Linked DNA regions of Anolis sagrei. The protein of the gene in region 1 purifies or fractionates together with the protein of each later gene. This does not show direct contact. Links are inferred from orthologs where the notes say so. Each region holds a gene or a part of one and is shown on either strand. Other genes may lie near its edges.

Region 1 (6,992 bases):
TGCGTGGAAGGAGCCTGGGTGTCTTCCAATAGTCTAGACAACTTGGAAACTTCTGTGTAAATTTAATTCAGTATAATTTATAATTAATCAACTTAAATTTCATAATCATGATACATGTTATACCCTTCCCCTTCATGTTCCTAGGCTGCTGCAAACTGAGGCCCCTACCACACAGTTGCATAAAATCCACATTAAACTGCATTATACTGCATGGCAGTGTGGACTCAGATAAGCAAGTTCAAAGTAGATATTGTGGAGTATCTGACTTGATATTCTGGGTTATATGGCTGGGTAGAAAGGCCCTGAATTAAAAACCATGTGGTGTTGTCTTTGTTGATGTCATAATAAATCATCTGCCCATAAAAGCATATGCCATAATATATCTGTTACAGTCTTCATATGTTATCAGACACCTTGGATTGTTTTTCACACAACAGAATTAATATACCTATCCCCTCTGAAAAAATATTTTTGCTGTCGGTGAAAACCAATTGACGTGAATCCTGAAATCCAAATCTTACCTGAGGTTGTTATAAAATGTGTTGCTAAAACATTAATCCCAAATTTTGAAAAAGGGAAAGTAATAAAAAAAATCTTCTGATGCTGTAACTGCTTCCTCCGGACTATTAACATCTGAGACAAAATGTAGAGCTGTGACACTTGTATCATCACTCGTCTTGCTCTGCATGATCTTTAACATCTTTATTTGTCAAGAGTTTAGTCTTCACATGCAAGAATATGCCCACACTATATTGTTGCAACAGTTAGATACTACTTTAACTGTTATTCCATTTTAAGTAATCCTAAAATTTACTCTTTGGAAGGGTACTTAGAATACTCTGCAGTGGTCGATCGGTTATGTTATTACTTAATTTTTGTTTACCTGTTATAATTTTTATTTTAATCTGGGGGGCGTTGTTGTTTAATTCTCTTTGTTCATGTATTCTAGCATTGAATGTTTGCCATTTTTTTTATTGGAAACCACCCTGAGCCCCTTTGGGGAGATATAAATAAAATTGTGGTTGTTGTTGTTATTCTGATAGAAATCTCTAGTTTGCTACAGTATTTTATGTACTGTTCAAATGGAAGCACTCAGTGCAACAGAGAATTTCTGAGTGCCTCTCTAAAGAACCAGCAGATGAGAGCTTTCCAAACTCTGTGTTGCAAGACATGTGTGTGTCGACTGCAGTGTGTAGGCATGTCCCATGAACATAATGAGAAATCTGAGTCTATGTGAAATGAGTATTTATGTGTGTGTGTGTGTGTGTGAGAGAGAGAGAGAGAGAGAAAGAGAGAAAGCTTTCATGAAATATGTTGTGCATATTTCATTTTTACAATTTATCTATGTGTCTTTGGACCTTTTCACATTGATGAGGTCCAGGGTTCACCAGCCTCTGTGCCAAATCAGTGGGTAGCAGTCATTCCCAGCACCCCATGCCCCGCCTCTCAACCAGCTGATGCTTCCCTATCACACTTGGAAGCGGTAGCCTTATTGTTCCAATTGAGCCATGAAGCCCCTCTGAAAGTGAGGCTACGATGTGTGATGGGTGGCATGGGCTCCATGGGTCAACTGGGGCAGAAGTGTTCTAGGACACTCAATTTCCATCGTGTGATGAAATCCCAAATCTCTTATAAGGGGTTAGTTTAACTTCCAGTTTGCTATTAAAACTGAATTGCTGTGTTGTGAAATGGCACGTGTCTTTAAATTGTGTCATCAACATGAAATGTTTGGAAAGTAGATAACACTTTAAAATGAAGTCAGGACCATTAGAGTGGGATGAAACTGTTGTAATAGCATAATGTACATAAACTTTCTTTAGCTGGAGAAGAGAGATAAAAACGGCACTTGGACATTATTTCACTGAGAGAACTAACATCAAATAGTGTGATCCAAGAGAGATATAAGTTTACCAATATTACTAATGGATTTTGAACAGTTCAAGCATTTAAATAAAGTGCTATATAATTATTACGTATTGCTATTATTTCTATTTTCACTGCTGTCTGGTGAATAGGCATACTAGAAGGATCATTACACTTTAATGTGTATCTAGCAAAAATGTGATTATAATATTCTGTAAAAATAACCCTCGAAAACACAGTTTTATTATCCTCCCTCTCTCTCCCAGCCCAATGTAATGTTTCGACTATCCCCCAAGTGCTTCGTCTTTGAGGATAGTATAAACCACACATTTGACCCTTGCATAATCAGGTGTTTGGGTTGCAAACAATGGAAGGAATGATCAGTTAAATATTTATCATAGGTTTATTTTTACTTTCATTAATCTCTTACTTTTTGGCAAATGTGACAACATGACATCATTATAAATAACATTTTTAGCCCCAGGTCCCCCCACCCCTCCAATAAAAGATAGTTCATAATTAGGGAATTCACAGTTTTGCCAAGGACACCAGGCTGGAATGATATAATAAGAGTTCAGTTTTGGCCAATCTGCAGAAGACTAACAACCACAAGGACCTTTCCCATGTTAGATAGTGGGTACATTTAGTCTAGATTTCATGAAACCTAAGCAAACACCTTAAAACATGAGTTAACAACTGTGCTAGTTGTCCCCCATACTAGTCAATGAACTACAAACAAAAGGGAATGCTAAGTAAATAATATTTTATAACCATGCCCTTTATTTCTGAAATCCCATCTTTCCTGCCTATTCTTGCTTTCTGTATAATCTTTGACTCACCTTTGATGATACTGGACTTTTCATATCTCAAGCCCTGTTTTGTTTCCTTTTTGCCTTTTTCATCCTCTTCCACTCCCACTCCCATAACTACCAGCCCATAATATCCTATCTCTCCCCAAAATCCTGGTCCCAACTGTGCTGTTTTATCTTAGGCTGGGCCCTCACAGACCCACTGATCCTCTGTGTATGTTTCCCCACAATCCCAGGGATCCATCCTTTTTTTTACTGTGGCCGTGTCTCCTTGCACACTATTGGCTGAGCAGCCGAAGTGGGGCTTGGGCTCCCATTGGACGAGCTGCACCAGTCCCCGGCCACTCCTCCCAGCTTGCTGATGTCACAGCCAATCACAGCGAAGCCAGCTCAGGGGGGCGGGAAATTTGAATGGAAAAAAACCCTGTATATATTGTCTAGTTCAGGGGTTCTCAAACTTTTTAAACAGTGGGCCAGGTCACAATACCTCAAACTGTTGGAGGGCCGGATTATAATTTGAAAAAAAATGAATGAATTCCTATGCACACTGCACATATCTTATTTGTAGTGCAAAAAACACTTAAAAACAATACAATAATTAAAATGAAGAACAATTTTAACAAATATAAATATATTAGTATTTCAATGGGAAGTGTGAGCCTATTTTTGGTTGATGGGATAGGATTGTTGTTGTTGTTTCAGACTTAGGTTGACCCTGAGGAAGGGCCGGGTAAATGACCTTGGAGGGCCGTATCTGGCCCCCGGGCCTTAGTTTGAGGACCCTGGTCTAGTTTTCTGTATCAGAACCATGGTGATTTCTTCAGCAGATTACTGCAGCTGTCATCCTTTTCCTGCTGGAACAAAAATAAATACCTCGGTGGCTTCTGCTTCCACTTGAGAAGATTTATTCTGGAATATTGGTTTCTTTTTTTCTCACCAGGTTAAACCCACAGCGGCTTGGATGTCACTATCCACAGCCATTCTAAATTGCTGGACAACAATATCCCATTGTATACAAATACAGCTATTCCAAAATCTGGGTGGGAAAAAAAATCACAAGCATTTCAGATACTCAACCTGTACCGCCCTCTAGTGGACTAAGCATGGAAGGTTAAAAATGAAAGGCTGGAGTGGAAGCATGGGCCCTCCAGGTGTTTTGGCTGTTAGGAATTGTGGGAGTTGAAGTCCAAAACACCTGGAGGGCCAAAGGCAGCTATAATTGGACAGCGTGGCTTTCCTCTCCGCCAATCCCCTGCCGCAGCCACTTGATGGGCAGGCCGTTCGCGCATGCGCTCCTCCTCCTTTTCCATTCCTCGGTCTTTGTTTTGCTTTTCCCTGTCAGTGGATGCACTTCCGCCCTCCTTTACGTTAGTATTGTGAGCCTTTCGGCTCGTCGTAGTCAGGTGACCTCAGTGGGCACTGTTGCCGGCATAGAGCTGGAGAGACTTTTCAAAGCCTGAGGCGGTTGTAGGGCGCGGCCATGGCTCCGGACCCCTGGTGAGTGAGGGAGGGAAGGAGGGAGCTGGCGGCGGAGCCTGACCCTTCCGCCCTAAGCAGGGAGAAGCCAAGCCGGCTTAGGCCTCCGTTTGTGCCGGGCACCAGCAGCCCTCCTCCAGTCACGTCAAGGACGGGCTTCCTTGCTGAGCTCGGCCCACTTGGGAAACTGCTTTGCCTGCCCTCCTGCACCTGACACTCTTCGCACCCATGCAAGGCCGCGGGGCGGGCTGGAGAGAGAAACTGAGGGCGCATTTACACCAGGCATGAGCAACCTTGGCCCCTCCAGGGGTTTAGGACTTCAACTCCCACAATTCCTAACAGCCTCAGGCCCCTTAAGCGCCTGAAGGGGAAAAGGAAAGGGACAGAGGCTGTTAGGAATTGTGGGTGTTGAAGTCCAAAACACCTGGAGGACACAAGTTTGCCCATGCCTGATTTACACTGTAGAACCAGTGCAGTTCGACACCACTTGGGCCAATGCCATGGGTCAATGCCGTGGGATGCTGGGCGTTGTAGCCTTCTCTGCCAAAGAGGACTATCAGCAATCTCATATCTCAATCTCACTCCCACGGACTCTTAACATTAATCTGTGGCAGTTAAAGTGGTGTCGAACTTCATTGATCTTGCAGTTTAGATGCAGTCAGGGTCATTTTTCAAGTAGGTGAAAAAGTGGAATAGCATAGGTCTCATTCAGGCTTTTCATCATCATCATCATCTTTAATTACTTATTAATCGCCCTCCATCCGAGATGCTCCATGCGATTTACATAGCAGAAATTATACAGGATAAAACACATACACACAAATATTAAAATCAACATGGGTCAAATGCTCGAGTAAAAAGCCAGGTCTTAAGTGCTAGGATAAAATGCCCTGAGTCACGCATGGCTCTCAAATAGGGAGGCAAGGAATTCTATAAGGCAGGGGCAGAAATAGAGAAGGCCCTGCGTCTGGTGCTTTCCAAGTGCACTTCCCTAGGACCCGGCATATAGAGCAAATCGCGTTGGGATGGTCGTGGCGACCTCCAATGATGGTAGAAGGAGAGATGGTCTCTAAGATACAATGGACCCTGGCCATATAAAGTTTTAAAGGCCAGGACCAGCATCTTATACAAACCACAATACTCAATTTTCTTGCCAGATATGAATAGTTATAATACAAGGTAACGGTTTTACCCTGACATTAAGTCCAGGCATGTCCGACTCTGGGGTTGGTGCTTATCTCCATTTCTAAACCGAAGAGCCGGCGTTGTCCATAGACACCTCCAAGGTCATGTGGCCAGCATGACTGCATGGAGCGCCGTTACCTTCCCACCTATTGATCTACTCACATTTGCATGTTTTCGAACTGCTAGGTTGGCAGAAGCTAGAGCTGACAGCGGAAGCTTACACCGCTCCCTGGAAACAAACCTGTGACCTTTTGGTCAACAAGCTCAGCGCTTTAACCCACTACATCACCGGGGGCTCCATAGTTATAATAAGATGTTATTTCTCTTCCCATCTCCCCAAGGGGACGCAGAGCGGTATAATAATAGTAGTAGTAGTAGTAGTAGTAATAATAATAATAATAATAAACATTAATTATACCCCGCCACCATCTCCCCAAAGGGGACTCGGGGCAGCTAACATGAAGCCAAGCCCAAAGTTACAATACAACAAAATAAAATACAGAATGCAGACAACAAAAAATACATCAAAATAAAATACGTACAGGAGCAAAATAAATAAAACAAATTAACACAATATAAAATCGAACCGAATGGGCAGGCCAAATAGATGGGGTAAAATGATAAAACCCTGGATGAGGTAGGAAAGAGAATATGTAATTGAGGGGAACCCCAAAAGAATAAACAGTGGGGTAGGCTTTCAGTTTAGTATGGGGAAAAGTGCATCATAGGGGCAACACTATAGATGGAGCAAGCATAAATTGGATAAATTTGCTGCTATACAACATATAGCAGCAAATATTCAATGCCATAAAGTGCAGGAAAACAATAAACAATCTCACAAAGGTGATAACATCTTAAACATCAAATATCAAATAATAATAAAGCAGGGCAATAAATTAATCAAACATAACTAAAATATTTATTTATTTTTCATATTTATATCCTGCCCTTCTCAAACCCAAAGGGGAATCAAGGTGGCTTTACACGTAGACAGCTATCAATGCCTTGAAAACAACATACTATTAAAATAAACCTTTAATGTAAAATTAAAATTAATACAAATTAAACAGTTAAAAACATATCCATTATTAAAACTACGCCATCCATCAATGTAATCCAGGGCCATTCAAATAATCATTGAACATATTCTGTTGCCCTTCTCCAAAGGCTTGATCCTAAAGCCAGTTAGACTCAGTAATTAAAACAATAAATTAAAAATAGTTGGAAGGTGTATTACATTTAAACAGTGGTCTCTCCCACAAATTTTCTATACTTGAGCTGTGATGAGCCATTGGGTATATGTGTGTGTGTGTAGATTAGATCTTTCCACTTTGGGTGGGGATAAAATCAAGTTGGATGATTTGATGCCAACAAAGGACATTCCTCTTCTCCATTGGTAGCTCTCACTTGTGTGTCTTTAAGTCATTTCTGACCTATGGCAGCCCTAAGGAGAACCCATCACATAGGGTTTTTTTTGGCAAGATTGGTTCAGGTTTGCTGTTGCCTTCCTCAGAGGTTGAGAGAGTGTGACTTGTCTACAGTGGAGATAATTTTAGCACATGCACCTTTTTCCTGCATGGAAAGTTTTTCCACTGAAAATTCTTTGATAAGGTTAGTAACCTTGCTGTACTCTGCAACAAGTTAAGCTGGCTGTTTGGG
Region 2 (7,699 bases), on another chromosome or scaffold:
GAGTCCCATGCTTTCTAAGTGAGGCAAGCATAATAATAACTGCTATAGAACTCTAAATACAAGTGGTAAATGTATTTAAAGCATTAAATAAACTTAGATCATGATTTCGTGATAGTTAATGCTACCATTCTCCAATTTCACTGAAAATTATGTTCACGAGGCTTTTTGTATCTTTTTTGTTAGCAATTTGATGACACATTTGGTATTTTTCTGTAGTAAAGAGACGAAGGCAAAGAAGGTAGCCGACGTTGTCTGTAGACAACTCCTAGGTCATGTGGCTGGCATGTCTGCATGGAGTGCTGTTACCTTCCCGCTGAAGTGATACCCATTAGAGACAAAGATGAAGTATTTTGGCCACATAATAAGACAGGAAAGCTTAGAGAAGACAATTATGCTGGGGAAAAAGGAAGGAAAAAGGAAGAGGGGCCGACCAAGGGCAAGATGGATGGATGGTATCCTTGAAGTGACTGGCTTGACCTTGAAGGAGCTGGAGGTGGTGACGGCCAACAGGGAGCTCTGGCGTGGGCTGGACCACGAGGTCATGAAGAGTCGGAAGTGACTGAACGAATGAACAACAACAAAAGGTAAAGGACATTAAGTTCAGTTGTGTCCGACTCTGGGGATCGGAGCTCATCTCCATTTCTAAGGCGAAGATCCGCCATTGTCCGTAGACACCTCCTAGGTCATCTGGCCGGCATGACTGCAAGTAGTGCAATTACCTTCCCACCCACCGGAGCGGTACTTATTGATCTACTTACATTTGCATGTTTTCGAACTGCTAGGTTGACAGAAGCTGGGTGCTGACAACGGAAGCTCACGCCACTCCCTGGATTCCAACCTGTGACCCTTTGGTCAATATTCCTGCTTCTTGGCAGGGGGTTGGACTGGATGGCCCATGAGGTCTCTTCCAACTCTTTGATTCTATGATTCTAAGTTTCGCAGCTCAGCGGTTTAACCCACTGTGTCACCGGGGGCCCCCACCATTATACTACAATATTATTAGTAATTTTACATGTAATATATAATATACAATTATATTATTTTACTAGACGCCCCTTGCAATGTGTTGCTGTGGCCTAGTCTGTGTATATGTGTATATATATGTGTGTGTATATTTGTGTATATATGTGGGTTATGCGCGTGCATTGTAATGTATTTTTTAGCTTTTAAGTCTCTTCTGCTGTGTTTTTCAGTGTTTTATGAGTGATGGCCACTCGTTGGCCTGATAGGTGTATTGTGTCCAAATTTGGTGTCAATCTGTCTAGTGGTTTTTGAGTTATGTTAATCCCACAAACGTACATTACATTTTTATTTATATAGAGTTAATCCCACAAACGTACATTACATTTTTATTTATATAGATTCTACCATATTATTAGGGCCCCCGGTGGCTCAGTGGGTTAAAGCACTGAGCTGCTGAGCTTGTTGATCGAAAGGTCGCAGGTTCAATTCCGGGGAGCGGCATGAGCTTCCGCTGTCAGCCCTAGCTTCTGCCAACCTAGCAGTTCGAAAACATGCAAATGTGAGTAGATCAATAGGTACCGCTCCGGCGGGAAGGTAACGGTGCTCCATGCAGTCATGCCGGCCACATGACCTTGGAGGTGTCTACGGACAGCGCTGGCTCTTCGGCTTAGAAATTGAGATGAGCACCAACCCCCAGAGTCAGACATGACTGGACTTAATGTTAGGGGACTACCTTTACCTTTACCCTTACCATATTATTATACCACAATTACACTACCAGTATATTATACTATTAGTATTACATAAGATATTGTGCTATATCATAAGTTATATTAATGCACTCTGGTTTTATTAACATATGACATTCTCTCTCTCTCTCTCTGGAGATTTGATGACTCTTAAATGTGCAGAGCTGTGATGGAGAGCAATCCCCTGAAAAGAAGGAGAGGGAGAAGGAGGGATGGCCAAGGCAAAGCCAGAGGTGTGAGAAAGAAGCCTGGAGGCAATGGCCACCAGCCACTCCCTCCTCCTTCCTGCTTTTGGACCCAGGAGATGAAGCAGAGGCTCCCAAGCAGAGCCAGGGAGGTCCCGCACCCCTCTCACCCGCCTCGTGACCCCTTACCAGGACAGGGCCCGGGACTCCCGCCTCCTCTGCAGCCTCTGGCTCCGTTATGTTTCTGTTTGGCGCGCCCGCCCTCGCTCCTTTCGCCCACTTCCCCGCCTCCGGGCACCTTGTCTGGGAGCCCGGATGCGCAAAACCCTTCACTTCCGCCCCGACTTCGCCTCGCCCTCAACAGCCTGGCAAGTCCGCCCGCAAATGAGTCCCTCCTCTTACCTCTCAGCACGCAAAGCCATCAGAAGAATCAGTGCAGTTTGATCCCACTTTAGCTCAATGCTAGAGAATCGTGTATTTTGGTGAAGCACCAGCACATTTTGGCGGAAGAGGCTCAAAACATTGTGAAAATCCAATGATTCCATAGAATTCAGCCATGGCAGTTAAAGAGGTGCCAAAACTGCATTCATTCTACACTGTATGGTAAAGATAAAGGTTTTCCCCTGACATTAAGTCTAGTTGTGCCTGACTATTATTATTTATTATTTATTAACCATCGGGGCTGTCTCTTCTGACCACAAGGTCATGAGTTCGAAGCCAGCCCAAATCGGAGTGAGCTTCCGACCAGTTGTGTAGCTTGTTGTCGACCTTTGCAACCCGAAAGACAGTTGTATCTGCCAAGTAGGAAAAGTAGGTAGCACCTATGTGTGGGGAGGTTAATTTAACAAAATTTAGGTTAAAAAGGTTGTCCCCTGACATTAAGTCCAGTCATGTCTGACTCTGGGGTGTGGTGCTCATCTCCGTTTCCAAGCCGAAGAGCCAGCGTTGTCCATAGACACCTCCAAGGTCATGTGGCCAGCATGACCACATGGAGCGCTGTTACCTTCCCGCCGGAGCGGTACCTATTGATCTACACACATTTGCATGTTTTCGAACTGCTAGGTTGGCAGAAGCTAGGGCTGACAGCGGAAGCTCACGCCGCTCCCTGGAATCGAACCTGCGACCTTTTGGTCAACAAGCTCAGCAGCTCAGTGCTTTAACCCACTGCGCCACCGGGCCCCCAAAAATTTAACAAAATTTACGAGGCCATAAAAAAGACTCCAGCAAAAGCATGCGGGGAATGCGGAAGTACTTAATCAGCGTTGCAGATGGACGATGAAAGCAACAGCTCCCCTGGCGGCCAGAAAAAGTTAAATAGCCTCTGACTGTTTGTCTATATCTGTTGTGCATCTTTGGCATTGAATGTATGCCATATATGTGTACATTGTAATCTGCCCTGAGTCTCCTCCGGGGTGAGATGGGCGTAATATAAATACTGTAAACAAACAAATAAATAAATATTGATATACTGCCTTTCTCAGCCTGAAGGCGATTCAGGGAGGTTTACAAACAGTACAATTTGCTGCCCACAATAACAAAGAACAATTAAAACATTTAGCATAAATAACATTTGACAAAATATAATGAAACTGATAGAAGTCTAAATCCACAGCGTCTCATTACTCAATTCATTACCCAATCACATTGTCCAGTCGTTCCGAAGATCAGAGTTTGTCTGCTACACTGCATTTGGGAAAGCTTGCTCAAAAAGCCAGGTTTAAACTTTTTTTCGAAATGTTAGGAGGGTTGGGGCCGACCTGGCTTAATATTTTCTGAGGAAATGTGCTCATGGGCACTCTGAGAAGTCATGCAGTTTTTTAAAAGATCAATCTTTAGATCATTTTTAAGCCGAAGAGCCAGTGTTGTCTGTAGACACCTCCAAAGTCATGTGGCCAGCATGACTGCATGGAAAACTGTTACCTTCCTGCAGAAGCAGTACCTATTGATTTACTTACATTTGCATTACATTAGTCAGTTAAACTGCTGAGTCAGTAGCTCAGCAGTTTAAGCTGCTGCACCACGAGGAGGCCCCTACAGTGTAGATGCACCCTAATGTCTCTCTTACGTGTGGATTTCCTCCCCCCCCCCCCCGGATTTTGGAATATTTTGCCTCTACATAATGAGACATCTTGGAGGTGGGACCCAAGTCATAACATTTTTGTTCCTGTGTTATCAATGTCATTTCCTAATTGGGGCTATCATAAAAACATGGGATTTTTTTTAAAAAAATTAAGCTTTGCTTTTGTGCAACATCCTGCAGCATATTTTGCTATAGTTTTTCAATGAATAGAGTCTCAGCCAATTCAACATAGTTTGTGCAGCCACGCCAGAAGCGACTTGCAGTTTCTCGTCACTCCTGACATGACCAAAAAAAGCCATAAAAATGTAGTTTCTGGAGTAGAACAACTACTTTTAGAGTAAGCACTGCACAATTAAACAGGAAATAACATTTTCAAACCAGGAAAATATCCCCCCCCCCGAATTTTGTTACCTGGTGTAATTTATTCAGGTATGATGTACATCTTATGCACATAGTCTGATATGGACTATGTATATGCAGTCTTTGAAATGTTTTTGTGCATGAAACAAAGTCTAAAAGGCATGCCTCCAGATATTATAATAATAATAATAATAATAATAATAATAATAATAATAATAATAATAATAATAATCATCATCATCATCATCATCATCCATGATGGACTCTAGTTGCCCTCCATTCCCATTGGGACGAGCACCCGGAACCTTGGTTGCGAGATGAGGTTCCTCAGGGGACTGTTGTTGGTGACGCTCAACCCGGAAGTACAGCCCTGACAGGAGCAGCGGCGAAGTTGAGTTTGCGTTATCCGGGGGGGCGCGGGTCGTGAGCACCCCCAATTCCGAGGCGGGCTACCTGTGGGCTTCTGTTGCCTCCCTTCCGCCCATCTAGCCGCCGAGGCCTGTCCTTCCTTGGCCGCCATGTCCTCAGACTTCGAGGGCTACGAGCAGGACTTCTCGGTGCTCAGCGCTGAGATCACAAACCGCATCGGGAAGGTGCCCAAGTTGCTGGGAGGTGAGTCCTGGGGCCGAGGGGGGCTCCTTCCCGGCCCCTCTGCCTTTCCTCTCGCCCCTTGCTTTGGCAGGGCCTTTGACACCCCTTTAACAGTCATGGCTCAATGCTGTGGCCTCCTGGGAGTTGTAGTTTGGTGAGGCACCTCCATTCCTTGGCAGAGAAGGGCAAAGGCCTCGTAAAAGTATAGTTCTTTAGATTTCATAGCATTGAACCAAGGCTGTTAAGTGGTGCTAAACTTCATTAATGTTGCTCTCTCTCTCTCTCTCTCTGTGCGTGTGTATATATGTCAGGACTTCTTTGTGGTTAAGTACAGCTGTTAAGATTTCATATAATTGAATCAAGGCTGTTAATAATAATAATAATAGGAGCCCCCGGTGGCGCAGTGGGTTAAAGCACTGTGCCGGCAGGACTGAAGACCGACAGGGAGAGGCAGATGAGCTCCCTCTATTAGCTCCAGCTCCTCATGCGGGGACATGAGAGAAGCCTCCCACAAGGATGATAAAACATCAAAAATCATCCAACGTCCTTGCAGACGGCCAATTCTGTCACAACAGGAGCGGTTGCTCCTGACACGACAAAATAATAATAATAATAATAAACCTTTATTTGTACCCCGCTACCATCTCCCGAAGGACTCGGTGCGGCTTACAAGAGGCTGAGCCCAAATACATCAGTAAAACAACAATACATCAATAAACTCGTAAACAAGCAGTAAACATTAACAATAACACCACGACACATTAAAAGAACCTATGATAGGGCCAAGTGTAATAATTAAAATTGTTAAAAAATACTGGGCATGACCAGGTGACCAGGTGAAATAGGATAGGTATTTTGAAGATAGATGGGGCATGCAGACGATCCTAGATCTCTACTAAAGTGCATTTGGGACTAATTAATTAATTAATTAATTTTTTACGCTATATTTCTAGCCCGCCTTTCTCAAACCCGAAGGTGACTCAAGGCAACTTTACAATATAGGCAGCTTCAATGCCATTAAAACAGTGTAAAAATTACAATAAACATTTAAATAGCATTATAAAATACATACATAAAAACCTTAAAAATCATATAAAGCCACTACCTTCACAATTAGCCTCATTGTCCAAAATCATTGTCTAAGCTGTTCCAGTATAGGATTTTACATAATTCTGTATTTATCTATTTCACTAGGTTCTCAAAGGCTGGCTCAAAAAGTCATGTTTTCACTTTTCTACGGAAGGTCAGGAAGGAGGGGGCTGATCTAATATCCCTAGGGAGGGCATTCCACAACTGAGGGGCCACCACTGAGAAGGACCTGTCTCTCATCACCGCCAGTTGCACCTGTGAAGAAGGCAGGGCCTCCCTGTTAAGTGTTAAGTCAAGGCTGTTAAGTGGTGCTAAACTTTATTAATGCTGCTCACTGTGTGTGTATGTATGTCACGGCTTCTTTGTGGTTGAGTCCCAGTTTTGGAGTCTACTCATCCACTTTGAAGCAGAAGTACCTTGAAACAACACCATTTCCCCCCACTGGAATAAAGTTTTCATTTAATGTTGAATGCACCCACCTGAAAGCGGGGAAATTCATCCTGAGTGGGAAATCCCGCTGAACTCAGTTGGGTTTCTTCCCAAATAAGTGTGGAAAAGACTGCAGATCTTTCTTTCCACCGCTGCCAGAGCAGCACCTAAGGAATCTCTCTTGTATAACTAGCTTAGTGCTTGAAAACGGACTGCTTAACTACTTTTTTGCCTCAACCCAACCAACTTGGGCCTTGATTGTTGTGAAGAACTTTGGACTGTTATTGACGCCACCGCTCTCTATTGCACTTGAACCCAGACTGTTTGTTGACTATGCAGGCCAGTTATGTCTCCTAAAACATGTGCTTCTTGTGAAGGGGGGGGGGGCAGTTTCCAGGTTCAGATGGGCACAACATGTGCCTCCTTTACCTTGGGGAATCCCATGTGGTGGGATCTTGACCTGTTTGCCTCTCTTTCACTCTGAAGGTGTGGTGAGGGTGTGAGTACCGTGTGAATGATTTACTCTGTGAGCCAATCCTCCTCCCATCTCCCTCCCCAAGGAAATGTGTGGCTTCAGAGCCTCCTGAGCTGGGAAATACATTAAAGGGTGTGCATTAGGGTTATGGATGTTTGCCTTTGGCTTGTTCAGTTGGTTTGGAAGCCCATAGTGGCATGGACTCTGCCACCATTTTTTTACTGGTCACAACAAAACAGTGGCTGTTGAAAACTGACTTCTTTCGGTTACACATATAGTGCAGGGAGGTAGGCAGCCACTAGAAGGAAAAGGATTCAAACAAGTGAGGCTCCTTAAGCCCTTTCTTGATTTGTAAGCAGAAAGGAGATTGAAGTGTGAGGGGGGGGGGGGGAAGGCACGTTAGTTCTCCTTTCCACTCCAGCACCTTCAAATCAAGAGAGAAGAGAGGGCTTTTTAAAGGAAGCCCAGGGTAGGATGCCTCCAGGTCAATCCCTTTTCCTTCCCTGGGAAATGGGAAGCCTACTGAAAATGCCTTGGAAAACTACCTACTGCAGAGAGTGCGAGAGCATGAACCTGCAGTCCATGTCTCCTCTAGAGAAAAAACAGCCTTAACAAAGCATTAATCCTGTCTCCTCTGCAGACAGAAGGGCAAGGATTATAGAAAGAATGGTATTTTAATTTTGATGCTTTAAATCCAGGTCTTAATGAAGAATATAAGGACAAACACAATGCTTAAAATGACAGGAAGGGGAGCCTGTGAGAAGTCCCCCCCCCCCCA
Region 3 (7,865 bases), on another chromosome or scaffold:
AATCAGGCACATCTAATCACCTCTCAACAAAAGATTGCTCCAGGCACTGTCAGACCATTATATGCTAATCAAGGTGGTCAGTTGAAACATTCACACCCAGCTCCAGCAGACAAGAGTCCTTTGTCCCACCCTGGTCATTCCTAGTTCCAACAGACCTCACTACCTCTCAGGATGCTTGCCATAGATGCAGGCGAAACGTCAGGAGAGAATGCCTCTAGACCATGGCCATATAGCCCGAGAAAACCTACAACAACCCAGTGATTCCGGCCATGAAAGCCTTCGACAATACTACTATCATTATGTGTTATAATACTATATAGTACTAATAGTAGTAGTACAAGAGGAGTATTGTATTATTATTATTATTATTAGTATTAATAATAATAATAATAATAATACAAGAGGAGAGGTGATTAAGAAATAAACTAATAATAACAATAATAATAATAATAATAGGGTTGCTGTGAGTTTTCTGGGCTGTCTGGCCATGTTCCAGAAGCATTCTCTCCTGACGTTTTGCCTACATCTATGGCAGGTATCCTCAGAGGTTGTGAGGCCTGTTGGAAACTAGGCAATAATAATAATAATAATAATAATAATAATAATAATAATAAGGTTGCTGTGAGTTTTCTGGGCTGTCTGGCCATGTTCCAGAAGCATTCTCTCCTGACGTTTTGCCTACATCTATGGCAGGTATCCTCAGAGGTTGTGAGGCCTGTTGGAAACTAGGCAATAATAATAATAATAATAATAATAATAATAATAATAATAATAAGGTTGCTGTGAGTTTTCTGGGCTGTCTGGCCATGTTCCAGAAGCATTCTCTCCTGACGTTTTGCCTACATCTATGGCAGGTATCCTCAGAGGTTGTGAGGCCTGTTGGAAACTAGGCAATAATAATAATAATAATAATAATAATAATACAAGAGGAGAGGCGGGTAGGAAATAAAAGTATTATTATTAATAATAAATAATAAATAAAATAAGAAAATAAATTTTAATAATAATAATAATAATAATAATACAAGAGGAGAGGCGGGTAAGAAATAAAATAAGACAAGAGGTTGGTAAGAAATAAAATTATATTATTATCATTATTTGTTATAATATATAGTAATAATAGTAGTACAAGAGGAGAGGCGAGTCAGAATTAAAATAATAATAATAATAATAATAATAATAATACAAGAGGAGAGACAGGTAGGAAATAAAATATTATTATTAATAATAAATAAAATAAGAAAATAAAATTTAATAATAGTAATAATAACACAAGAGGAGAGGCAGGTAAGAAATAAAAATATTATTATTAATAATAATAATAAATAAATAAATAAATTTTAATAATAATAATAATACAAGAGAAGAGGCGGGTAAGAAATAAAAATATTATTAATAATAAATAATAAATAAAATAAGGAAATAAATTTTAATAATAATAATAATAATAATAATAATAATAATACAAGACGAAAGGCAGGTAAGAAATAAAAATATTATTAATAATAAATAATAAATAATAAATAAAATAAGGAAATAAATTTTAATAATAATAATAATACAAGAGGAGAGGTGGGTAAGAAATAAAAATATTATTATTATTAATAAATAATAAATAAAATAAGAAAATAAAATTTTAATAATAATAATAATAGAAGAGGAGAGATGGGTAAGAAATAAAAATATTATTATTAATTAATAATAAATAAAATAATAAAATAAAATTTAATAATAATAATAATAATACAAGAGGAGAGGCAGGTAAGAAATAAAAGTATTATTATTAATAATAAATAATAAAATAAAGAAATAAATTTTAATAATAATAATAATAATAATACAAGAGGCAGGTAAGAAATAAAAATATTATTATTAATAAATAAAATAAGAAAATAAATTTTAATAATAATAATAATAATAATAGAAGAGGAGAGGTGGGTAAGAAATAAAATTATTATTATTATTATTATTATTATTATTATTATTAGGGTTTGGGCAGCTTAAAAAATGTTTCCCATGTTTTGATAATAGAACCAAGGAGGAAATAAGGACAATATTATTATTATTATTATTATTATTATTATTATTATTAATACAAGAGGAGAGGTGGGTATAATAAATATTATTATAATACTATGTAACACGATTTTTTTTTTGTTGCCGGGTTATAAATGTCCTTATTTGGTTCTATTATCAAAACTTGGGAAAAGTTTGTTAAGCTGCCCAAACTTTTCACATCTTCCAGCTCGTTTTGCTCAGGTTGTTTCACCCTCATTGAGTTCCCAACCTTTGTGGCAACCACCAAACACAAAGTTGCCGGAGTAGGAAGTGCCGCACAACGACACAGGAAGCAACACTTTCAAAGCAGAAACATTTTGCACGTTTTGTTGCATAGTGTCCCATTGCACGCCTCTCGCTTGAGAGTGGGAAGAGTAAGCAAGGAGTGTGCCTCCCATTGTGGTTGGAGTATTTCCAAGGCCTCTTGCCTCCACTCCCAAGTTGGTCTTCTTGTTGTGGGCTCACTCTCAGAGGCGCAAAGACATAAGAGACATGCACAAGAAGTGGAAAAAGGGAGAAATCAACAAAGAAGATTTCTCCAACTCTTTGATTCTATAATTTATTTATTTATTTATTTACTAGCAACGCGTTGCTTTGCTTTCACCCCTGGCTTTGCAGAGACCCCTGGGTTGCCTTGTGGGGGGGATTCCCCCCCCCCCCAGGCAGAGCTTGTGGTGTGTCTCAAGGCGCTGCTGGGCCCAGCCCCAGAGAACCAGGAAGGAAGGCTGAAAACGAAAGTGTTGTGGCCTGGTATTGTGGGGGGAGGAAACAGGGAAGGAGGAGGGAAAGGGGTCACTCACATGATAGCAGAGGAAGAGGAGGGGGACAATCCAAGCTCTTCTCCAAGGGTCTCTTAGCTGCTCCGGTTGCTCTTGCTGCTGCTTCTCCCACTTTGGCACTGGCCCCTCCTCCAGGAAGGAAGGAAGGGAGCCCAACCCAAGGCCAGGGAAAGGGCCCCCAGAGGCAGGCAGAGAGAGAAAGAGGTGGAGACACTGGAGCAACAGCTGGGCAGAGTTTCATGGAGTGCTTTCCTTCCTGGCCGCCCTTGGATTGCCTTCAGCTGGGAGAGGCGCAGCACCGCCCTGCCTTGGGATTGCCTTTGGCCTGGGAAGGGCTCGTATTCCTCCCAGACAGAGAATCCCAGAGTTGGAAGACACCCTGGGGGCCATCTCTCCCCATAGAGACCCCAAACGCAGCAGCATTGCCCAGGGACGAATCAAAGAATATGAAAGGCACTGTAGACTAACTGATGAACCAACCTGGTCATGGGTAGATGGGAATTTCTCAAGAGTGAAATACTCAAGACGCAATTGCAAACTGTGCCAAAAAAGAGAAAAATAGAACAAGTGCAAAGAAGCCAGAATGGATGTTCAAAGAACTTCTAACTGTGCTAAAACACAAAAGAGACATGCACAAGAAGTGGAAAAAGGGAGAAATCACCAAAGAAGATTTCTCCAACTCTTTGATTGCATACACTTTGCCAGCTGCGCCACAATCCCAGCCTTCTCTCCATAGAGACCCCCAACGCAGCAGCATTGCCCAGGGACGAATCAAAGAATATGAAAGGCACTCTAGACTAACTCAGCCCTAGCAGAGCACCTGATGAACTAACCTGGTCACCGATGGGATGGGAATTCCTCATTGCAAACTGTGCCAACAAAGAGGAAAAATAGGACAAGTGCAAAAAGAAGCCAGAACGGATGTCCAAAGAACTAACTGTGCTAAGACACAAAAGAGACATGCACAAGAAGTGGAAAAAGGGAGAAATCACCAAAGAAGATTTCTCCAATTCTTTGATTCTATGATTTATTTCATAGAATCATAGAATCAAAGAGTTGGAAGAGACCTCATGGGCCATCCAGTCCAACCCCATTGTGCCAAGAAGCAGGAATATTGTGTTCAAATCACCCCTGACAGATGGCCATCCAGCCTATGTTTCAAAGCTTCCAAAGAAGGAGCCTCCACCACACTCCGGGGCAGAGAGTGCCACTGCTGAACGGCTCTCACAGTCAGGAAGTTCTTCCTCATGTTCAGATGGAATCTCCTTTCTTGTAGTTTGAAGCCATTGTTTCGCGTCCTAGTCTCCAGGGAAGCAGAAAACAAGTTTGCTCCCTCCTCCCTGTGGCTTCCTCTCACATATTTAGCCTCCCCACACTTTAAGGTGGTACCTAATTTTCCTACTTGACAGATGCAACTGTCTTTCGGGTTGCAAAGGTCGACAACAGGCTACACAATTGATTGGAAACCCACTCCAACCCGGGCTGGCTTCGAACTCATGACCTTTTGGTCAGAGTGATCTTAATGCATCTGACACTCAGCCAGCTGCGCCACACTCCCGGGCTTCTCTCAATAGAGACCCCCAACGCAGCAGCATTGCCCAGGCATGAATCAAAGAATATGAAAGGCCCTGTAGACTAGCTCAACTGGAGAAGTCAGCCACAGCAGAGCACCTGATGAACCAACCTGGTCACGGATGGGATGGGAATTTCTCAAGAGTGAAATACTCAAGGCGCAATTGCAAACTGTGCCAACAAAGAGGAAAAATAGGACAAGTGCAAAAAGAAGCCAGAATGGATGTCCAAAGAACTTCTAACTGTGCTACGACTCAAAAGAGACATGCACAAGAAGTGGGAAAAGGGAGAAATCATCAAAGAAGATTTGAATGCAATATTCCTGCTTCTTGGCAGAATGGGGTTGGACTGGATGGCCCATGAGGTCTCTTCCAACTCTTTGATTCTATGATTCTGTAAGATTTCTACAACTCTTTGATTCTATGATTTATTTATTTATTTATTTATTACTAGCCGTCCCCTGCCACGCGTTGCTGTGGGGGTTCTGTGTGGGAAGTTTGATAGGGTTCAGAATGCTCTGTGATTGTAGGTGAACTATAAATCCCAGCAACTACAACTCCTAAATGTCAAGATTCTATTTTCCCCAAACTCCACCAGTGTTCACATATGGGCATATTGAGTATTCGTGTAGAGTTTGGTCCAGATCCATCATTGTTGGAGTCTACAGTGATCTCTGGATGTCGGTGAACTACAACTCCAAAACCAAAGGACACTACCCACCAAACCCTTCCAGTATATTTCTGTTGGTCATGGGAGAACTGTGTGCCAAGTTTGGTTCAATTCCAACGTCAGTGGGGTTCAAAACGCTCTTTGATTGTAGGTGAACTATACATCCCAGCAACTACAACTCCCAAAGGGCAAAATCATAATGTTTTGAGTGATGGTCACTCCTTGTGTTGTGAGACGTTTTGTTGCCAAATTTGGTGTGATTTCGTTCATTGGTTCTTTTGTTTTTAAGGGACTCATGATGCACAGAGCATTTATATATATAGATAGATATAAATCCATTCACATGATAACTCTCCTGCTGAATCTGCATGCCCAGTGTGGACCACATCTCACCACGCTCAAACAGTGGATGTGGCTCTTAATGAGACATGCCGCATTATCACGGGGTGTCTGCGCCCTACACCACTGGAGACATTACACTGCTTAGCCGGTATTGCACCACCTGACATCCGCCGGGAAGGAGCAGCCAATAGTGAAAGGACCAAGGCAGAGACACCTCCAGCCCATCCCCTGTTTGGGTATCAGCCAGCACGTCAACGACTTAAATCAAGAAATAGTTTCCTAAGACCTACAGAGACACTCGTTGGAACACCCCAGCAAGCGAGAGTCCAAAAGTGGCAGGCTCAAACCCAGAAATCGCATTCAAAGCACCCCTGAGAGATGGATTCTTACCTTTTGAAACCACTTCAGCTCACACTGCCGTGGAAGGCCGGCTCCTCCGAATCCATTCAAATGCCTCCTTGTGGTCACTTTTTAAACCCTTTCCCCCCTAATATTGCGCCGTGACGAAGCCTGGAAGTTATTGCAAGATTGTAGCTGATGGGATGCATCCCGGTTGTCAGGCCACACATCAAAACAGCGCCTCCGCAGGATATACAGTCGTAGTCAATCAAAAAACCACAATTGTCCCCCTCTTTTTCTGCGTTTCTTTCCCTTTTCCCCCTTTTCTTCCCACGTTTCTTTCCCTCTTTCTGCACTTCTTTCCCCCCTTTTCCGAGTTTTTCCTTTCTTCCCACATTTATTTCCCTTTCTTTCCACGTTTCTTTCCCCCTCTTTCAGTTTTTCTTTCCTTTTCTTTCCATGTTTCTTTTCCTCTCTTCCTTCATCTTTCCCTCTTTCTGCATTTCTTTCCCCCTCTTCCAGTGTTTCTCTCCTTTCTTTCCGTGTTTCTTTTCCCCTCTTCCCACATTTCTTTCCCTCTCTTTATGTGTTTCTTTCCCCCTTTCCCGCATTTCTTTCCCTTTCTTTTCATGTTTCTTTCCTTCTCTTCCCGTTTCTTTCCGCATTTCTTCCCCTCATTCTGCATTTCTTTCCCTCTCGTTCAGTTTTTCCTGCTTTCTGCGTCTTTCCCTCTTTCTGCATTTTCCCCTTTCTGCATTTCTTTCCCTTTCCCCCATGTTTCTTTCCCTCTCGTTCCACGTTTCCTTCCCACACTTCCAGCGTCTTTCCCTTTCCATGTTTCTTTACCTCTCTTCCCGTGTTTCTCTCCCACTTTTTCTGCATTTCTTTTCCTTTCTTCCTGCGTTTTCCCCTTTCTTCCTGTGTTTTTCCCTCTCTTCCCGTGTTTCTCTCCCACTCTTTCCGCTTCCCCCCCTTTCTTCCTGCGTTTCCCCTCTCTTCCCGTGTTTCTCTCCCACTCTTTCCGCATTTCCTTCCCTTTCTTCCTGCGTTTTCCCTCTCTTCCCATGTTTCTTTTCCTCTCTTCCTACGTTTTTCCCTTTCTTCCCGTATTTCTTTCCCTCTCTTCTCGTGTTTCTCTCCCACTTTTTTCTGCATTTCTTTCCCTTTCTTCCTGCGTTTTTCCCTCTCTTCCCGTGTTTCTCTCCCACTCTTTCCACATTTCTTTTCCTTTCTTCCTGCGTTTTCCCTCTCTTCTCATGTTTCTTTTCCTCTCTTCCTGCGTTTTTCCCTTTCTTCCCGTATTTCTTTCCCTCTCTTCTCGTGTTTCTCTCCCACTCTTTCCGCATTTCTTTCCTTCTCTTCCTGCATTTTTCCCTCTCTTCACGTGTTTCTCTCCCACTCTTTCCGCATTTCTTTTCCTTTCTTCCTGCATTTTTCCCTTTCTTCCCATGTTCCTTTCCCTCTCTTCCCGTGTTTCTCTCCCACTTTTCCTCCATTTCTTTCCCTTTCTTCCTGCATTTTTCCCTCTCTTCCCGTGTTTCTCTCCCACTCTTTTCGCATCTCTTTCCCTTTCTTCCTGCATTTTCCCCTCTTCCCATGTTTCTCTCCCACTTTTCCGCATTTCTTTCCCTTTCTTCCTGTGTTTTTCCCTTTCTTCCCGTGTTTCTTACCCTCTCTTCCCGTGTTTCTCTCCCACTTTTCCTTCATTTCTTTCCCTTTCTTCCTGTGTTTTTCCCTCTTCCCGTGTTTCTCTCCTACCTTTTCCGCATTTCTTTCCCTTTCTTCCTGCATTTCTCCCTTTCTTCCTGTGTTTCTCTCCCACTCTTTCCGCATCCTTTCCCTTTCTTCCTGTGTTTTTCCCTTTCTTCCCGTGTTTCTTAGCCTCTCTTCCCGTGTTTCTCTCCCACTTTTCCTCCATTTCTTTCCCTTTCTTCCTGTGTTTTTCCCTCTTCCCGTGTTTCTCTCCTACCTTTTCCGCATTTCTTTCCCTTTCTTCCTGCATTTTTCCCTCTCTTCCCGTGTTTCTTTCCCACTCTTTCCGCATTTCTTTCCCTTTCTTCCTTCGTTTCTCCCTTTCTTCCTGTGTTTCTCCCCCACTTTTTCTGC
Region 4 (7,117 bases), on another chromosome or scaffold:
TTTTAAAATACGCGCTATTCAGTTGGTTGAAGACGTAGCGGAGTGCTAGAGGTCTTGTTCGAGAGGCGGGAGTATAAAGATTTGTACTGACACAGTTCAGTTGCCATCATGCGTTGGAATAGTGAGGAGCGTGCTTTTGCCGTTGAGGCCTACTTTTCGAGCAGATTTGGAGTGGCCAGCCCGCTCTCTAGATTTGGCCCCTTGTGATTTTTTTCTATGGGGTTTTTTGAAATCCCGTGTTTATGTGAACCATCCAAGGACCATACAAGATTTGAAGACCAACATCCAGGAAGAAATTGCCAACATAACGCCTGCTATTAAATCATGACAAACGCCAGAAATCATTTTACTCAGTTTAGTGTATGGAGAATGGGGGATGTCACCTACCTAATTTGATCTTCAAAACTACGTAAAACAAAACTTTAGGTAAGCGCCTACATTATAAAAATAAAAATTTCTGATTCATACAATGGGTTTGATTAAGTTTTGAAAAAAGGAAGTTATGCTGCCTCACCCTGTAGATACGACAAATGAATTACAATTGAAATTTTGCACAGCAGAGAGAGAGAGAGAGAGAGAGAGAGAGAGGTGTGCCTTCAAATTACCTATCACACAAATTGCATATTTTCTCAAGCAAGAAATACTCAAAGGTGGTTTTGCCAGTTCTTTCCTTTAAAACAGTAGCTCCCAACCTGTGATCTGTGCACCACCAGTGGTCCGCAAGAACAGAAATATGATCCACAGCCTCACTGTTAGTACACCAGGTTTTTGTAAGTCTTTCAGTATCTATGGCCATGTTCCAGAAGCATTCTCTCCTGACGTTTCATCGGCATCTACGGTTGTGAGGTCCTCAGAGACCCCACAACCTGGGAGGGTGCCTGCCATAGATGCAGGCAAAACATTAGGAGAGAATGATTCTGGAGCATGACCATACAGCCTGAAAAAACCTTATAAAAACCCAGTGATTCCGGCCATGAAAGCCTTTGACAATACATTGTTACTACACCGTTGCAATGAGAGTGACTGATATCGCAAAACCCTCTTATAGTGCCAAGGCTTATTAAATATGGTTTTCTATGTGTCATGCCCCAGCATGCATCTGTGATACTATGTTTGCTTTGTAGTTTGGCCCACTTGACTTTCTATAGTCAGAATACTGTGGGTGAGCAAATGGCGACTACTGGATGGCATATTTATTTATTATTTATTTGCTTTATTTCTATACCGCATTTTTCAGCCCTTAACAGGCGACTCAATGCGGTTTACATGGTACAATTATCAAACAGTGTCAGTGCAATTAAAACATAACAATGCAACAAACAGGATCAACAGCATCAATCCACAACAGTTAACAATCAACAAGACAGATCAACAAAACAGACATAACATAACACCTCAGTTGAAATCAGATCCGTTCTCATAATCCTTGTGCCATTCCTATGTTCCATTTACCGTCTTCCTATGATTGGTTGCACTGCTTAACCAAACGCTTGTTCATAAAGCCAGGTCTTAACCATTCTCCGAAACGTCAGCAGCGAAGGTGCCTGTCTGATGTCTGCCGGTAGGGCATTCCATAGCCGAGGGGCCACCACTGAGAAGGCCCTGTCTCTCGTCCCCGCCAAGCGCGCCTGTAACGCAGGCGGGATCGAGAGCAGGGCCTCCCCAGACGATCTTAATGTTCTGGTCGGCATACGTTCAGACGATCTTAATGTTCAGCATATGTTCTGTATCAGAAACTAGAACTGATGGGGTCTATCCAATGCGATCTAAAGTTGACCAAAACAGATTCATAACCCTTTTAATACTAATGTTGAAAGGTGGATCCTGGTCAAAGTGGTCCCAGGTAAAAAAAAAAAAGGTTGGGAACCACTGATCTAAACCCTCTGAGGCACGGATACCATTGTTTTCCATAGGAAGGAGTAATCATGCATTTCTATAAATAGGGATGGCAGCTCTCTGCTAAGTACAATATTATAACTGGAACAAACCACTAAAGGAAAACTACCCTTCCATCTATTCTCCAATGCCACTATTATGCTATATTATGCTGTAATATTTTGTAAAAAAAATTCAAGGGGAGGAGTTATTATGCTCTTCCCTAAAGAGGGATGACAGCTCGCTGCTAAGGACAGAATGGAAAGAGATTCTGGCAGGTTTGCATGAAGAAAAAAAGCTGGGAGTGGAGACATATCATTGTCTAAGTGTGATGCGGAAGCATTGCCTCCGAAAGATCCTACAAATCTCATGGGAAGACAGGTGGACAAATGTCAGTGTGCTGGAAGAAGCAAAAACCACCAGCATTGAGGTGATGGTCCTCCGCCATCAACTCCACTGGACCCGCCATTGTTCGAATGTCTGACCACCATCTCCCAAAGCAGTTGCTCTACTCCAAACTCAAGAATGGAAAACAGAATGAGCGTGGGCAGGAAAAGAGATTTAAAGATGGGCTCAAAGCCAACCTTAAAACCTTGGTAATAGTATGAAAGCTGGGTCGGGAAGCTCTGAGCCTTACGCTGTTTCCGCTTCGCTCCTGTTTGCACAATGCAGAACGGAACACAGATATAGAAGGAATGTAAGAATTCTTTAATGGTAAAGCCCTAACCCTAAACCCGGCCCTTAACCCTTATCCTAACCCAAACCCCAATCCTAACCCATCCTAACCTTACCCAGAGGTGGCCCTAAATAATTTTCAACGGTAAGCAAACAGTATTTTTGCCCCCCCCCCCCAACCAATCAGATATATATTTTCTGTTCGTCGTGGGAGTTCTGTGTGCCATATTTGGTTCAATTCCATTATTGGTGGAGTTCAGAATGCTCTTTGATTTTAGGTGAACTATACATCCCAGTAACTACAACCCACATATGTCAAGGTCCATTTCCTCCCAAGAGCGCCTCAAGAGCACCCCTGGGCAAAATCAACTATACTGTAAATGCTTACTTTGCGTAATGGGTTGAGCCACCCCTGTCCTTACCCTAAACCTAAGCCTAATTCTAACCCAAACCCTAAACCTTAATCCTAACCCTCCCCTCCTTTCTATCCTTCCACCAAATTAAAGTATGTTCCCGCCCTCAGTGTGCCGCTCTCCCCTTCCCTTATTCACAACCGCTATTGCGGAATGTGCGTAACGCTCGGCACTTCCGGACCTAGCTATCATACTATCACCACAAACTCTGGCATAGACAGTGAGAAGTGGGAAGCCCTGGCCCTTGAGCGCTCCAGCTGGAGCTCAGCTGTGACCAGCAGTGCTGTAGAATTTGAAGAGGCACACATGGAGGGCAAAAGAGAGAAACGTGCCAAGAGGAAGGTGCATCAAGCCAACCCCGACCGGGACTGCCTTCCACCTGGAAACCAATGCCCTCACTGTGGGAGAAGATGCAGATCAAGATTAGGGCTCCATAGTTACCTACGGACCCACCGTCAGTACACCGATATTGGAAGACAATCCTACTCGGACTAGGAAGGATCGCCTAAGTAAGTAAGTAAGTAAGTCTCAAGACTGCTGTATGATTTTTTTTTTTTTGTCGCATCAGGAGCGACCTGAGAAACTGCAAGTGGCTTCTGGTGTGAGAGAATTTGCCGTCTGCAAGGACGGTTGCGCAGGGGACCGGCCAATTTGATGTTTTTATCATCCTTGTGGGAGGCTTTGCTCATGTCCCCGCATGGAGCTGATAGAGGGAGCTCATGCGCCTCTCCCCGGATTCGAACCTGCAACCTGTCGGACTTCAGTCCTGCCAGCACAGGGGTTTAACCCACTGCGCCACCGGGGGCTCTGCTGTCTGATAAGGTCCTTGGAGGCGTTTATGAGGCAGTCCTCCGATTAGTGCCTAATCACACTAGGGCTGAAAACAGAGCACGCATCCCATCTGAAATCCTGTGCCTGCCTTCTTTCCCAGAGAATTCTGGGGCTTGTAGTTTAGTGAGGCTGGCTGAGCATTTTAAAGGTCCCTCCTCTGAACTACAAGCCCCAAGAGGAAGCCACAGGACTTCAGACGGTGAAAAGAAGGCACTGCACGATCCCTCCAATGGCGACGCGGCGCTGTGTAGAGTCAGCGGAAAGGCCGGGAGTGGGCGGGGCCAGGCAGCGCCCCTCCCTTTGGTGCGGCAGCGAGTGGGCGGAGCTTGGCCGAGGGGCGTGGTCACCCGGGCTGATCAGCTGAGCGCCAGAGAGCTGGAGCCCGGAACCCGGCTCGCCCGATGGGGACGCGGTGCTGAGCGGGGCTGAGAGGTAAGGGCGGCCTCCCTCCCTCCCTCCCTCCCGCTTGCCCGAATGCAGCTCTGGCAGAGACTCCTCTCTCCCTTGTTTGTTGGAATGACTGCTTGCCTGCCTAGAGGGGGCGGAGGAGGGAGGCGCCAGCCCGCATTCCTCCTTCCTTCCTTCCTTCCTTCCTTCCTTCCTTCCTTCCTTCCTTCCTTCCTTCCCTTCCCTTCCCTTCCCTTCCCTTCCCTTCCCTTCCCTCCTTCCGTCTTTTCCCCTCTCCCCCTTATTTCTGTCTCTCTTTCCCCTCCCCTCTTCCCTCCTTTCTTTCCTTCCTTTCCTCTCCCTCCTTTGCTTCCTTCCCCGCCCTTTCCTTCTTCTTCCCTTTCCTCTTCTCCTTCCTGCCTTTCCTCTGCAGCAACACGCCCCTCCCTGTGTGTTTGTGTGCGAATGGTGGAGCCTGCCCAGGGATGGGAGGGTGGCACATGATGCCAGCCATGGAAAACAAGGCTTCCTTTCTGGTGTCTCCTCCCTCTCCTCCTGGGTGGAGCCATCATGTGACCGTGATGAGAAGGAATCACGGCTTCTCCACGGAGGCACCCCGCAACCCCGTCGGATTAAGGGGAATGGCATTAGGCCGGGGAGAATGCGTGTCTTTGCAGGCGTGACACGCTCAGAGGGAGCAATGCAGCCGGGACACGTGATGGTGGCGTGTGGGCAGCCACTGCTTCCACTTGGGCATTCCTTCTGGGGGGAATCGCCTCAGGAGGGGCGCGGATTGTGTTGTTGTTGTTATTGGGCGTGTGTAGGCTTCCTTACATCCTTCTCTTCTGTGTTTTGGATTTCCATTCTTTGTGGATGAATGTAACTGGCTAATAATAAGTACTAGTGTACCTGCCAGGCGTTGCTGTGGCCAACCTTCCCTCCCTCTTTCTTTCTTTCCTTCCTTCCCTTTTTTTCCTTTCCTTCTCTCCTTCCTTCATTCTCAATCTCTTTCCTTCTTTCCCCCTTTTTATTTCCCTTCTTTTTTCTCTTTCTTCCTTCACTACCTCTTTCTCTCCTTCACTCTTTGCCTCCATCCTTCTCTCTTCCCCCCCCCCTTTCTTTCTCTCCTTTCTTCCCTCCCTCTTTCCTTCCTTCCTTTTTTCCTGTCCTTCCTTCCTTCTCTACTTCTTGCTTGGGAAGCGAGCCTTGCAGGGAGTCATTTTTGGTCATGTGCTGTAATGTGTTTTTTTGTTGGGGTGGGGGTGGGGGTTAAGTCCTTTCCACTGTGTGTTTTTTGTTTTGTTTTTAGGAGTGATGGTCACTCGTTGGCCTGATAGGTGTATTGTGTCCAAATTTGATGTCAATTCATCCAGTGGTTTTTGCATTATGTTAATCCCACAAACTATCATTACATTTTTATTTATATAGATTATTGGGTTGCTGTGAGTTTTCTGGGCTGTATAGCCATGTTCCAGAGGTATTCTTTCCTGACGTTTTGCCAACATCAATGGCAGCTCACAACCTCTGAGGATGCCTGCCATAGATGTAGGTGAAATGTCAGGAGAGAATGCTTCTGAGACCTGGCCATACAGCCCAGAAAACTCACAGTGACCCAGTGATTCCAGCCATGAAAGCCTTCAATAACACAATAATTTATTTATTTATTTAGAGCATTTCTATCCCGTCCTTCTCAACCTCCAAAGAGGGACTCAGGACGCCTTCCAACAGGCCACTATTTAGTGCTGACACAACAAAACATAGCATAAAATACAGTTATATACATTAAACAATTATAAATATACATTAGAAAGTTCAAGTGAAGATCGTCGTAATATAATACAATAATTATTATATTTTATACCGTGTTTTCCTCTCTTAAATGAGACTCAAAACAGCCCACAACATTTAAAATAGTACATTGATTATCCCAGGCCTCTTCTACACTGCCAGGTAATCCACATTATGTGCTTTGAACTAGATTTATTGATATTTATCATGTCACAAGTGAATTGAGGGCACAATTGAAATGTATTTAAAAGACAAACAAAGTTAAAAACTTGGCATTATGCTAAATGTCCTTTCACCAGTAGCTGGCCACTTGGAGTACTTCTGGTGTCACTATAAGAACATCCTACATCATGCATGTGGCAGGGCTCAGGTTGCTTTGTACTAAGTGGTCTGTGGTTTTCTCTCCTCCACACTTGCATGTCGTGGACTCACTCCCATATAATCCAGTTCAAAGCAGATAATCTGGATTTTATATGGCCGTGAAGAAGGTGCTCCAGTGATATAGAATCATAGGCTTGGAAGAGACCTCAGGGACCATCCAGTCCAATCTTGCCATGCAGGAAAACATAATCAAAGCACCCCCAACAGATCCCCATCCAGAGAAGGAGACTATATTATTGATTGTGATTCAGTATTTTATGGTAAATATGTATAAAACGGTTTGCCACGTGTTTTCTCTTTTTCCTGTAAGAAAATAAGGGGTCAGGAGTGATTGCTTTTTAGAGATGAATGAAGTACACTTTGAGCATCCCTTATCTGGAATTTCAGAATCTGAAATGCTCTACAATTGGTCATGTAGGTGTCTGGGATAGTGACACCTTTGATTTCTTCAGTGTACACAAACTTTGTTTTAGTGCATAAAAATATTTAAAATATTGTTTAAAGTTACCTTCAGGCTGTGTGTATAAGGCAGGTATGGGCAAACTTCAGCCCTCCCTCCAGGTGTTTTAGACTTCAACTCCCACAATTCCTAACAGCCTACCAGCGGTTAGGAATTGTGGGAGTTGAAGTCCAAAACACCTGCCTAGAGGGCTGAAGTTTGCCCATACCTGGTATAAGGTATATATAAAACATAAATGAATTTAGCATTTAGGCATGGATCTCATTTCTGAGAGATCTCATGTATGTGTGTGCAAATCCAAAAAATC

Evidence for each region.
Region 2: the proteins of STX8 (region 1) and VTI1A purify together in Homo sapiens (affinity purification with mass spectrometry; 3 studies listed by BioGRID and IntAct, with this or other methods). This does not show direct contact. The link is inferred for Anolis sagrei from reciprocal best matches to the Homo sapiens genes STX8 and VTI1A.
Region 3: the proteins of STX8 (region 1) and VAMP3 purify together in Homo sapiens (co-immunoprecipitation; 3 studies listed by BioGRID and IntAct, with this or other methods). This does not show direct contact. The link is inferred for Anolis sagrei from reciprocal best matches to the Homo sapiens genes STX8 and VAMP3.
Region 4: the proteins of STX8 (region 1) and STX7 purify together in Homo sapiens (affinity purification with mass spectrometry; 5 studies listed by BioGRID and IntAct, counting the BioPlex papers as one, with this or other methods). This does not show direct contact. The link is inferred for Anolis sagrei from reciprocal best matches to the Homo sapiens genes STX8 and STX7.

Annotation. Positions count from the first base shown.
Region 1 is NC_090022.1:125,312,933-125,319,924, forward strand, and holds the start of STX8 (syntaxin-8), read left to right. Parts: upstream 1-3,989; 5' UTR 3,990-4,152; coding exon 4,153-4,169; intron 4,170-6,992. UniProt on the Homo sapiens protein: Vesicle trafficking protein that functions in the early secretory pathway, possibly by mediating retrograde transport from cis-Golgi membranes to the ER.
Region 2 is NC_090023.1:208,325,320-208,333,018, reverse strand, and holds the start of VTI1A (vesicle transport through interaction with t-SNAREs homolog 1A), read left to right. Parts: upstream 1-4,682; 5' UTR 4,683-4,855; coding exon 4,856-4,949; intron 4,950-7,699. UniProt on the Homo sapiens protein: V-SNARE that mediates vesicle transport pathways through interactions with t-SNAREs on the target membrane. These interactions are proposed to mediate aspects of the specificity of vesicle trafficking and to promote fusion of the lipid bilayers.
Region 3 is NC_090033.1:20,406,325-20,414,189, reverse strand, and holds the start of VAMP3 (vesicle-associated membrane protein 3), read right to left. Parts: upstream 3,021-7,865; 5' UTR 2,861-3,020; coding exon 2,859-2,860; intron 1-2,858. UniProt on the Homo sapiens protein: SNARE involved in vesicular transport from the late endosomes to the trans-Golgi network.
Region 4 is NC_090021.1:81,872,306-81,879,422, forward strand, and holds the start of STX7 (syntaxin-7), read left to right. Parts: upstream 1-4,110; 5' UTR 4,111-4,226; intron 4,227-4,803; exon of another isoform or gene 4,804-4,997; intron 4,998-7,117. UniProt on the Homo sapiens protein: May be involved in protein trafficking from the plasma membrane to the early endosome (EE) as well as in homotypic fusion of endocytic organelles. Mediates the endocytic trafficking from early endosomes to late endosomes and lysosomes.